Saccharomyces cerevisiae S288C: one gene and its partners. The protein of the gene in region 3 interacts with the protein of the main gene of each other region in a biochemical or structural test. Each region holds a gene or a part of one and is shown on either strand. Other genes may lie near its edges. The genes, in order: URE2, HSP104 and CPR7.

Region 1 (3,317 bases), on a different chromosome or scaffold from region 3:
GAGTACATGTACTCTAAAAACTATGACAGAAGAACCAAGAGGGAAGTTAATAGAAGAAATGAGAAGGCTAGGCAACAAGCTCGAAATGAATACAACAAAACCGTGAAAAGGTTTGTAGTTTTCATAAAAAAGCTCGATAAAAGAATGAAAGAAGGTGCAAAAATTGCAGAAGAACAGCGTAAACTAAAAGAACAACAGAGGAAAAATGAGTTAAATAACAGAAGAAAGTTTGGGAACGACAACAATGACGAAGAAAAATTTCATTTACAAAGCTGGCAAACGGTAAAAGAAGAAAACTGGGATGAACTGGAAAAGGTATATGATAATTTTGGAGAATTCGAAAATTCTAAGAATGATAAGGAAGGTGAAGTATTGATTTACGAGTGTTTTATCTGCAACAAGACATTTAAGTCGGAAAAGCAATTGAAAAACCACATAAACACTAAACTGCATAAGAAAAATATGGAAGAGATACGGAAAGAAATGGAAGAGGAAAACATAACGCTTGGGTTGGATAATCTCTCCGATCTCGAGAAATTTGATTCAGCAGATGAAAGTGTTAAAGAAAAAGAAGATATTGATCTGCAAGCATTGCAAGCTGAACTCGCTGAAATTGAAAGAAAACTGGCAGAATCGTCTTCTGAAGACGAAAGTGAAGATGACAATCTCAACATAGAAATGGATATAGAGGTAGAAGACGTCAGTTCGGATGAAAATGTACATGTGAATACGAAGAATAAAAAGAAAAGAAAAAAGAAAAAAAAAGCAAAGGTTGACACAGAAACAGAGGAATCTGAATCGTTCGATGATACTAAAGACAAACGGAGTAATGAGTTGGATGATCTTTTGGCATCACTAGGAGACAAGGGCTTACAAACGGATGACGATGAAGATTGGTCTACTAAAGCGAAAAAGAAAAAGGGCAAACAACCTAAAAAGAATTCTAAATCCACAAAAAGCACTCCGTCCTTGTCGACTCTACCGTCCTCTATGTCTCCAACCTCCGCGATCGAGGTGTGCACTACATGCGGAGAATCATTTGATAGTCGAAATAAGCTATTCAACCACGTGAAGATAGCAGGGCATGCGGCAGTGAAAAACGTAGTGAAAAGAAAGAAAGTCAAGACCAAAAGAATATAGTGACACCAAACCATAGAACGCCGAAACAGAAATTATTAGTAGAGCTGTGTAGAGTTTAATTTAACTGTAGTCAATGTGGAAAATGAATACCGACTGTTGTCTGGAATAACAACATTAATCCGGGTGACGCAGCCTGGAATTTTTTTTTCAATTCTCGCCGAATAGGAGGATTGATGAGCTGCCACTATTGAATTTTTGAGGAAGAGTGGCTTCAGCATGTAGTTTTCCTTTCTACTAGGCCAGAAAAGCAACTATACAAAGACGAAAGCTTCCTTACTCGAGGTTGAAAAGAATAGCAAAAATCTTTCCTTTTCAAACAGCTCATTTGGAATTGTTTATAGCACTGAATTGAATCGAAGAGGAATAAAGATCCCCCGTACGAACTTCTTTATTTTTAGTTTTTCATTTTTTGTTATTAGTCATATTGTTTTAAGCTGCAAATTAAGTTGTACACCAAATGATGAATAACAACGGCAACCAAGTGTCGAATCTCTCCAATGCGCTCCGTCAAGTAAACATAGGAAACAGGAACAGTAATACAACCACCGATCAAAGTAATATAAATTTTGAATTTTCAACAGGTGTAAATAATAATAATAATAACAATAGCAGTAGTAATAACAATAATGTTCAAAACAATAACAGCGGCCGCAATGGTAGCCAAAATAATGATAACGAGAATAATATCAAGAATACCTTAGAACAACATCGACAACAACAACAGGCATTTTCGGATATGAGTCACGTGGAGTATTCCAGAATTACAAAATTTTTTCAAGAACAACCACTGGAGGGATATACCCTTTTCTCTCACAGGTCTGCGCCTAATGGATTCAAAGTTGCTATAGTACTAAGTGAACTTGGATTTCATTATAACACAATCTTCCTAGATTTCAATCTTGGCGAACATAGGGCCCCCGAATTTGTGTCTGTGAACCCTAATGCAAGAGTTCCAGCTTTAATCGATCATGGTATGGACAACTTGTCTATTTGGGAATCAGGGGCGATTTTATTACATTTGGTAAATAAATATTACAAAGAGACTGGTAATCCATTACTCTGGTCCGATGATTTAGCTGACCAATCACAAATCAACGCATGGTTGTTCTTCCAAACGTCAGGGCATGCGCCAATGATTGGACAAGCTTTACATTTCAGATACTTCCATTCACAAAAGATAGCAAGTGCTGTAGAAAGATATACGGATGAGGTTAGAAGAGTTTACGGTGTAGTGGAGATGGCCTTGGCTGAACGTAGAGAAGCGCTGGTGATGGAATTAGACACGGAAAATGCGGCTGCATACTCAGCTGGTACAACACCAATGTCACAAAGTCGTTTCTTTGATTATCCCGTATGGCTTGTAGGAGATAAATTAACTATAGCAGATTTGGCCTTTGTCCCATGGAATAATGTCGTGGATAGAATTGGCATTAATATCAAAATTGAATTTCCAGAAGTTTACAAATGGACGAAGCATATGATGAGAAGACCCGCGGTCATCAAGGCATTGCGTGGTGAATGAAGGCTGCTTTAAAAACAAGAAAGAAAGAAGAAGGAGGAAAAGAAGGTTATAAGGGTATGTATATAGGCAGACAAAAAGGAAAATTAAGTGCAAATATAAACAAAAATGTCATAGAAGTATATAATAGTTTTGAAATTTCTGTTGCTTCTATTTATTCTTTGTTACCCCAACCACAGAATTCCAAAATTTTGTTTTATGTAATAATTGAAATACTATAAATTTCTCAACTATATTCGGGGTGTTGTCACTGTATATCTGGCGCTTTCAATAAAGCTGGTACAATTGCGTATTTTTCTCGGCATTTGCCACGATGGGCTTAAGAAAGATCACAATAGAAAATTTCAAATATTTAATATTTGCGAAGAAGGGATTTGTTCAGTTATGACGATTAGATACATATGTAACTTACATGCAAACGGTTTTTGTTCATGGAAATACGTTCTAGTGAATGTATAAATCGATTGATGTCGAGATATGAAAAGTTTACAAACACTATGTGAAATCTCATTGATGAGAAATCATTCAAACATACAATCTGTGAGTAATGTCCCCTATCACTTATTAAAGAGGATACTGCAGAAAGTAAAAATACCACAACTATTAAAACTTGAGAAAAGCAACGTACTATTGATATTTGACGATGATGAACTATGGT
Region 2 (4,978 bases), on a different chromosome or scaffold from region 3:
AATCATCGCTGTTCGAATTTTCTATCATTCAATTTTCCAAGCGCATGGAAAAATGTTCGCTGTAACATTATATTGGCACAAGTGATTATTAATATTACATGAACTGCTATGGTAAAAATTTAAACGTGCAGTTCAGATAGTACTGAAGTCTAAGTTAAAGATATACTAATTTTAACATGATTTGGTAGTCATATATATGAGTCATATGAGTCGCTACATTCAAATGTACAGTAACTATCAAAACCATTATTGTAGTACCCGTATTCTAATAATGGACCAATCCGCGTGTGTTTTATACTTCTAATATGAAAGTAAAGAGGTCCAGATTTAACCTTCACTTATTACTTCCTTTAAACTTTAGTTATCAACGCCATATGTCCCAAATACAATAAAAAAAGATTTGACGTCCAGTGGACTTTTTTGTCCATTGTTTACTTTTAGATTATTCACAGCAAGATGAACTAAACGTTAAAATGTGAGCTCTTTTGCTCGGGTGTCAAGTTCAATTAAACAAATTCCATTAGTTTTATTAATTATATATATTATATTACTGATTCTTGTTCGAAAGTTTTTAAAAATCACACTATATTAAATTAATCTAGGTCATCATCAATTTCCATACTGTCCTCATTATCGTCATCACCTAACGTGTCAGCCCCTATAGTAGCTTCGTGATTTGGTAGAACTTCCAGACATTCTTCAGCTTCCTCAGGAACATTTTCATCACGAGATTTACCCTTCTTCAAGACGACATTGACAGTTTCCTTATCCTTGATTTCATTCTTTAAGATCCTTAGTGCCAGTTTGTTCAAAATTTCGTTTTGAATTAACCTGTTCAGTGGACGTGCACCCATATCATCGGAATAACCATATTTGGCCAAGAAGTCCTTGGCCTCTTGAGTTAAATTCAACTTGTAATGTTTATCATTTTGCTCGAATCTCTCTTCAATTTCCTTCAAACGAATATCCACGATCTTATGAATAGCTTTTCTAGATAGCTTGTTGAAAATGACTATACTAGAAATTCTGTTCAAAAATTCTGGTCTGAAATGTTGCCTAACAGCACCCATGACCAAATTCTTGGTAGATTCTTGGATCTTTGATCCTTGTTGAGAATTGATAAATTCAGCACCTAGATTGGAAGTCATGATGACAATACAATTGGAACAGTCGATCGTCTTACCTTGACCAGAAGTAATTCTACCGTCATCCAACATTTGTAGCATGACAGTCAAAACATCAGGATGTGCCTTTTCTACTTCATCGAATAACAAAACGGAGTATGGTTTGTATTGCAGTTGGTTAGTTAAAAAGCCACCTTCATCGTACCCGACATAACCTGCCGTGGTACCCAACAACTTAGAGACCGCATACTTCTCGCTTAATTCAGAACAATCGACCCTGATCATCATGTCCTCATCATTAAACAAAAATCCAGCAACTTTTTTAGCCAATTCAGTTTTACCGGAACCGGACAAACCTAAAAATAAGAAGGATGCTGGTTGCCTTGGATTAGCTAAACCTGATCTAGACAATCTAACGGCATTGGAAACAGCTTTAATGGCATCCATTTGGCCCACGACTTCAGATGATAAGTCACGTTCCATATGAATCAATTTTTCATTTTCAGATTCTGACAACTTCTTAACAGGGATACCAGTCAATCTTGCAGCTGTTTCAGAAATGGTGTCTGAATCGACCACATTTTGGATCATGGAGTTGGCACCAGCACGTCTCTCTTCCTCAGCAACCTGATCTTCAAGCTTTTCGATTTGCTTTTTGATATCTGGGATGGCGAAGTACCTTAAATCAGCGGCGGTAGCAGTATCATATCTACGTTCAGCATCAAGGGCCTTGTTTTCCAGTTCATCCAATTTCTTTTTAGCTTGTGTCAATTCTTCATGGCCATGCTTTTCTTCATTGTAACGTTGTCTTAGAGGTTCCAATTCTTCTTGCAATGAAGCTTCCTTCTGCCTAGCTAACTTTAATCTATCTTTAGTGGTGGAGTCGGCATCTTCATCTCTCTCTAGAGCTTTTATCTCTACTTGAATCAATTGCAATTGACGTTCCTTGGAATCCAATTCTTCTGGCTTAGAATCTCTTGCGACGGCGACACCAGCACAAGAAATATCAACTAAATCCAAAGCAGAATCTGGCAATCTTCTATATGGCAAGTAACGCTTGGCTAATTGAGCAGCAGTGACTAAGGCGCTATCCAGAATCCTTACACCATGATGTATTTCATACTTTGGTTGCAGACCTCTCAATATGGCCACTGTTTGTCTCACACTTGGTTCAGCGACTTCAATTTTCTGGAATCTTCTTTCAAAGGCACCATCCTTTTCCACAATAGATCTATATTCGTTATTGGTGGTGGCACCGATGACCTTCAATTGGCCTCTGGACAAAGCTGGCTTCAAGATGTTAGCAGCGTCGTCCTTACCATTACCCATTAACATGTGAATTTCATCAATGAATAACACAATTAGAGTCTTTGATTCTTCGATTTCCTTCAAAACACCTTTGAATCTTTCTTCGAAATCACCTTTGTATTTAGCACCTGCGGTTAATGCGGCCAAATCTAGACTGAACAATTTAGCGCCTTGTAAGATAGTGGGAACGTCATCGTCAATGATTCTTTGAGCAACACCTTCAATAATAGCGGTCTTACCGATACCTGGCTCACCAATTAAACATGGGTTGGACTTAATTCTTCTTGCTAAAACTCTAATAGTGCTTCTTATTTCTTCTTCACGGCCGATGACAGGGTCAAGTTTACCTTGACGAGCCTGCTCAGTCATATCAATGGCGTACTTTGATAAATATTCCAAAGGTGTGTTCGTATCAGCGCCACGAGAGTCAATTCTAGTGTTACCACGAAGTTCAAGAGCTTGTTGCTTGATGGCCTCAATATCTACTTGAGCTTCCTTAAATATTTGCTGAATAGACGAATCATTGAATAGAGCAAACAATATATGGTCTTGCGCTATAAATGAGTCCTTCTGTTGTTTTTGAATCTTAGCAGCGTCTTGAAGGACTTTCCCCAAAGCATAACTTGGAGTTATCTCCGCAGGTGCAGGTTGCTGTTGAGGAATTCTTACTAGATTTCTATTAACCACTTTCTTGAAAAGATCATAGTCGTAACGGCCCTTCTCAATTAGATTCTGTAGGTAAGGGACTGATCCATCTTCTGGCGTTTCAATGAAGGCAGCTAGAATATGTATAGGTTGTAATTGTGGATGTTGATGATCCGAAGCCAATTTTTGAGCCAACGTCAAAATCGTTAGAGCCCTTTCTGTAAATTGCGTTTGGTCGTTCATATATTCTGTATATTTTATGGTACGTGTAGTTGATTTCTTTTTTCTTTGTTATTGCTGATTCGATTCAAGGGTAAAAAGGAACAAGTGACAAAGGAACGAATTATGAAGGAATTGAGGCAAGATTACAATGCCTTATATAATAATCTGGCAGGTTGCATAAGTTTGCGCCCCTTTGCCTTTTACTGTGATATAATTTGCAGTTCTTTGAGATGGGCCCCCTGTTGAAAATTGAACAAAAAAATCGCGGCCCCTTATGGAACGTTTAAGATTGTAATTAATAACCCTTCTAGAAAATTCTGGAAAAATATATATCTACAAGAACAACGAAAGAAAAGTTAGGAACAGCAAACACTACCACGATGGAGGGTTCAATGTTAATATGTATGATAAATATGTAAATAAATAAGTAAATGAATAAATAAGTGAATAGGTAGATTCTTTTTTTCTAAAAATGGTGCAGAAGGTTTTTAAACCATGAAACTCTCGCCACAACCGCATGTGCCCTTGGAGTTTGGATTCTTGAAGACAAACTTAGAGGCCAACTTGTCGTCGATCCAGTCCATTTCACTTCCAATGATGCTGAATAACGCCTTTGAATCGATGACAATTTTAACGCCATCTTGTTCTACTACCTCATCGAATTTCCCCGGCTCGGTGATATATTGTAGATCGTACGTTAGTCCTGAACATCCACGGTTTCTAGCGCTAACTCTAATCAATTTAGGTTCCGGCTGAGCTAGCAGTGCCCTTAAATGCTTGATTGCCTTCGGACTCAGGGTGATCAGCGCCTTTCTTGGTCTCAATTTCCTCTTTCTTTTCTTGGGAGGTTCTGTGCAAGAGCAGTCATTCTTGGATACTGCAGCAGCTATTTGCTCGTCTATAGCTTTATTCTGCTTCTTGATGGCCTCCTCATGAGATTTGATGGTCTCACGCGAAGGGAATGCGTAGCTCGACCACTTCGGGCTTTTAGAAGCCTTGCTACTCTTGCTCTGATTGGAAACTATGAATTTGAAGGGCTTCTTACCTGGACGTTGACTATCTGGAGAGACAGAGTCTGCAGCTGCGGGCACTGTCTTCGGTATGAATTTTAATTTGAAAGGATTTACGTTGTTGATTGTGCGAGACATTGTGCCATTCGTACCGCCTCGCCAAAATCCTCCAGTTGAAAGGAATCTGTGTGCCAGCAGTACTGAATTCCTGCTTCTTCCTGTGTTTATCATTATGTTACGTTATTGTTCCGATCGTTTGTTATACTACCAAATCAAAAAAATCTAAAATGGTCTTTCGTACGAGTGCAAAAATGGTGGCCAAATGTATAAATAAATAAATAAGACGAGTAAAATAATGTCAATAAATAACAGTTTCTTAGTAATTCTAAAGGATTTACAAATATTTGCAAAATTCCATTACTCTTCCTTGCTTTCCTGTCCTCTTTCCCTTTCCTTTATGAATTAAAAGCATCTCAATCTCTTTCCTTTATTCCGTTGAAATTCCCTGTCAATTTTAATCCAAAATAAAGAAGTCATTAAACGGGCATTTACCGGGTGACTGTTATCTGACCAATGAAATCTGAGGGTATGACTAATAAGCCCCCGCCCGAGTTTCGGCCAAGGGTACGGACAACGCCGAGAACCGGCGATGAGAAGAACAATAGCTTT
Region 3 (3,436 bases):
AAATTACAATCGAAATTTACAAAAAGTTGCAAAAAGAAAGCGGGAGAGTGAATCCACAGTATTGAAAGTTGTTCAATAATTAATTCCCTGATTGCAGGTGGTTTTTGCTTACTAACGTCACCACTGATTGTGGTATCCTCTAGAATTTCGAATATTCTCCTTAAAGTCAGTTCAATCTGCATAGGCAAATAATCACCCAATATCACAACCAAACTCGTGAATAATTGTAAAGTTGCTTGCAAAAGAGAATACTGGGTAGAACTTTGTATAATGAATAAAACACTTTTAAATATTGGATCAGAAATTAAGCTGAATAACCGGGGATATAGAGGAAATTTGTCACCGGATATTTCAATGGCTGCATTGATTAACTGTAGAGATAATTTCATGGCCGAAGTTGTGTGCTTCATTCTATTCTCTGGCATAACCAGTGATAACAATAATCCAAGATAATCCTTTATAACTGTTATTCCGTAATTTGGCTCGACATTTTCGGCTTTCTCAGCCGTTTCCTCATCATTTTCCTGTTCCCTTATGACCTGTTGGACTGGCTTCTCATTTTTATTATCGTCTGCAACAGCACTGTCATCATCAGTGCTACTCAAATCGTTATCAGAGGTAGTCGTACCTATAATGTCATCCTTCAAATTATTGTCGGTGTAACTTTCATCATTGATATATTTTTCTGTTTTTGTAGGTGGATCTAGTAACTTCAACTTTGTAAATAGTTTAACGGTTATCCCTGCAATTGTAACTTCAGCCGTTTTCCTCAAAACCTCGCTTCTCTGCGTATTACATGCCAAGGAAAGTGTCGTTTGTAAAACATCGTAGATTATAGTATCGGAGAGATAGTCTCCAAAGGAAGAGGTTATAATATCGCGTAGTAATGTTACAACTTTTAATAAAACAGAGTCGTCCGAAATTTGCTTTGAAGCTTCAAATCTACAATGTGTAAGCGCAACAACGGTTTCCCTAACGGCAATTTGAATATCATTAAATGTTTTGTTTATGATTTTTAGTGTAAAAACTTTCTGCAACGAGTCCAGAGCCAGAGAAGTAGTATAACCCGATACTGAACTAGCGCTGACTATTTCTAAAAATGGTTTCAAAAGTTCCAAGGCGTTTAATGAATCTAAACCCTTCAAGTCGTTAATTTTTAGCCGCAGCTGTACTAAACCAGATATCAGAGGATCATGATAGCTAGAAGTAGGCAAATTGTGGAAGCTGTCAACAAACGAATCACTTTGACTCAAGAATATATCACTACCTCCGCCCAGCAACGCGGCCACACTTGTTTGTGATTTATCTCTGGACTGCTTGTTCATGGCAGAACAAAGATTGATGCACTCTTTGACAATCATCGTAGCTGGGTTCACGGCCAAAACAGTTTCCATTGGCACGTCGTGCATTTTGTATATGAAGCCGTATTAGTTAAACCTGGGCGCTTCTTACCAAAGTTGCGAATTAACTTAACTAAGATGGTTCAATTCTCTGTGTAAAGTATCCATATTAAAAGGTCTTAGTTCCAACATGTAAACAAAGAGATCTATATATTGTTTTTTTTCCAATGCGCTGAGTGATGAAGTGATTAGAAAATCATAAAAATGAGAAACTGCAAAGAAAAAAAAAGTCGTTATTCTGAAAGGTGTTCGGCAGCAACAACCTACATCCAACGCGATGATTCAAGATCCCCTTGTATATTTAGACATCTCCATTGATAAAAAACCAATTGGTCGTATTGTCTGCAAACTTTTTCGTGAGAAGGCTCCTAAAACAACAGAGAATTTTTATAAGTTATGCGCTGGTGATGTTAAGAGTCCTTTGAAGGATCAACAGTACCTGAGCTATAAGGGAAATGGTTTTCATAGAGTCGTTAAGAATTTTATGATCCAGGCAGGTGACATTGTCTTTGGGACACAAAAGGATTCCTCTTCATCGTCTGTTGGAAAAGGTGGATGTTCAATTTACGCTGATAAAGAGGAAGTGAAAACCGATGATGAATCTTTCTGTTACGGGAATTTTGAAGACGAAAACTTGGGAGAGTTTGTAGAACCCTTTACCTTAGGTATGGCCAATTTAGGTTCTCCAAATACGAACAATTCCCAGTTTTTCATAACTACATACGCCGCACCTCATTTGAACGGCAAGCATTCTATTTTTGGGCAGGTGGTTCATGGAAAATCAGTGGTTCGCACTATAGAAAACTGCAGGGTAGATTCTGATGGAGTCCCTGAATCAGACGTTAGAATCAGCGACTGTGGAGTGTGGGAAAAAACTATGGGTGTCCCGCTTTACAACGCTTCTAATGACCAAATTGGCGGTGACGTATACGAAGAATATCCAGACGATGATACACATTTCGGTGACGATGATTTTGGTAAGGCTCTTGAGGCTGCTAATATAATCAAAGAATCTGGGACGCTCTTATTTAAGAAAAAGGATTACTCTAATGCCTTTTTCAAATACAGAAAATCTTTAAATTATATCAATGAATACATGCCTGAACCCGACGTAGACAAAGAAAGAAACATCCAATTTATTAACCTAAAGATGAAAATTTACCTAAATTTATCTTTGGTGCTCTTTAATCTGGAAAGATACGATGATGCTATCATGTATGCTACGTATTTATTGGAGATGGATAACGTTCCTAACAGAGATCAAGCAAAGGCTTATTATAGAAGAGGTAACAGTTACTTAAAAAAAAAGAGACTAGACGAAGCTTTACAAGATTATATTTTTTGTAAAGAGAAAAATCCCGATGACGAAGTTATAGAACAAAGAATAGAATATGTCAATAGGCTCATAGAAGAGAATAAGGAAAAGACAAGAAAGAATATATCAAAGTTTTTCTCCTAATTAGTTACTTGTAAGGCTGAAATTTGAGATTAAATAACCCAATATGAAAACACTACATTAATAAGATGTAATTATTTTTATTTATAAATCCATTTATTTGATAAAAAATATGATATCATACAAAGTCATCTAGTAAGTTCTTGGTAATAGCAGATTTTTTTGGCTTCTGTGGCTTTTGTGATGAAAGATCATCTAATATGTCCTTAGAGAGTTTATCTTTCCTATTTTCTGAGTTGTCTGTTTCACCCACAGAGTCGTTTGGCGCTTTTGGAGTTAAATTCTCTTTATGCTGAGAATATGAAGGAGAGACGAACTCATCCAGTATACTTCTAGGTGCAGAAGAAGAACTTTGAGCGAGGGAATTTGAAGAAGTGCTATTTGGTGGTGGTTGCAAGAAGTCGTCTAATAAGCTATTTGGTAACTTTGGATTAGGTGACTCTATATCTGAAGCACTTGGCGAGCCAAACTTATCAAAAAGACTGGGCCTCATCCTAGCAGTAGAAATTGGTTCAGACGCCATGGCGCCAATAGCAGAATATGCTCTATCCTTGGTGGGGCTCTTTAATAGCTTCTGAAC

The links.
Region 1: the proteins of CPR7 (region 3) and URE2 form a complex in vitro, tested with the Saccharomyces cerevisiae proteins (one study listed by BioGRID).
Region 2: the proteins of CPR7 (region 3) and HSP104 form a complex in vitro, tested with the Saccharomyces cerevisiae proteins (one study listed by BioGRID).

What each region holds. Positions count from the first base shown.
Region 1 is NC_001146.8:218,482-221,798, reverse strand, and holds URE2 (glutathione peroxidase), read left to right. Parts: upstream 1-1,597; coding exon 1,598-2,662; downstream 2,663-3,317. Other genes in the region: JJJ1 (Jjj1p), read left to right, coding at 1-1,140; ELA1 (elongin A), read left to right, coding at 3,137-3,317. UniProt on the Saccharomyces cerevisiae protein: Plays an important role in nitrogen catabolite repression. Down-regulates the expression of many genes involved in nitrogen utilization by inhibiting the GATA transcriptional activators GLN3 and GAT1.
Region 2 is NC_001144.5:86,965-91,942, reverse strand, and holds HSP104 (chaperone ATPase HSP104), read right to left. Parts: upstream 3,321-4,978; coding exon 594-3,320; downstream 1-593. Other genes in the region: Fe-binding Fe/S cluster assembly protein ISA1, read right to left, coding at 3,788-4,540. UniProt on the Saccharomyces cerevisiae protein: Required, in concert with Hsp40 (YDJ1) and Hsp70 (SSA1) and small Hsps (HSP26), for the dissociation, resolubilization and refolding of aggregates of damaged proteins after heat or other environmental stresses.
Region 3 is NC_001142.9:489,404-492,839, forward strand, and holds CPR7 (peptidylprolyl isomerase CPR7), read left to right. Parts: upstream 1-1,677; coding exon 1,678-2,859; downstream 2,860-3,436. Other genes in the region: Arf family guanine nucleotide exchange factor GEA1, read right to left, coding at 1-1,409; RAV1 (Rav1p), read right to left, coding at 2,975-3,436. UniProt on the Saccharomyces cerevisiae protein: PPIases accelerate the folding of proteins. It catalyzes the cis-trans isomerization of proline imidic peptide bonds in oligopeptides. Plays a major role in negative regulation of the heat shock transcription factor (HSF).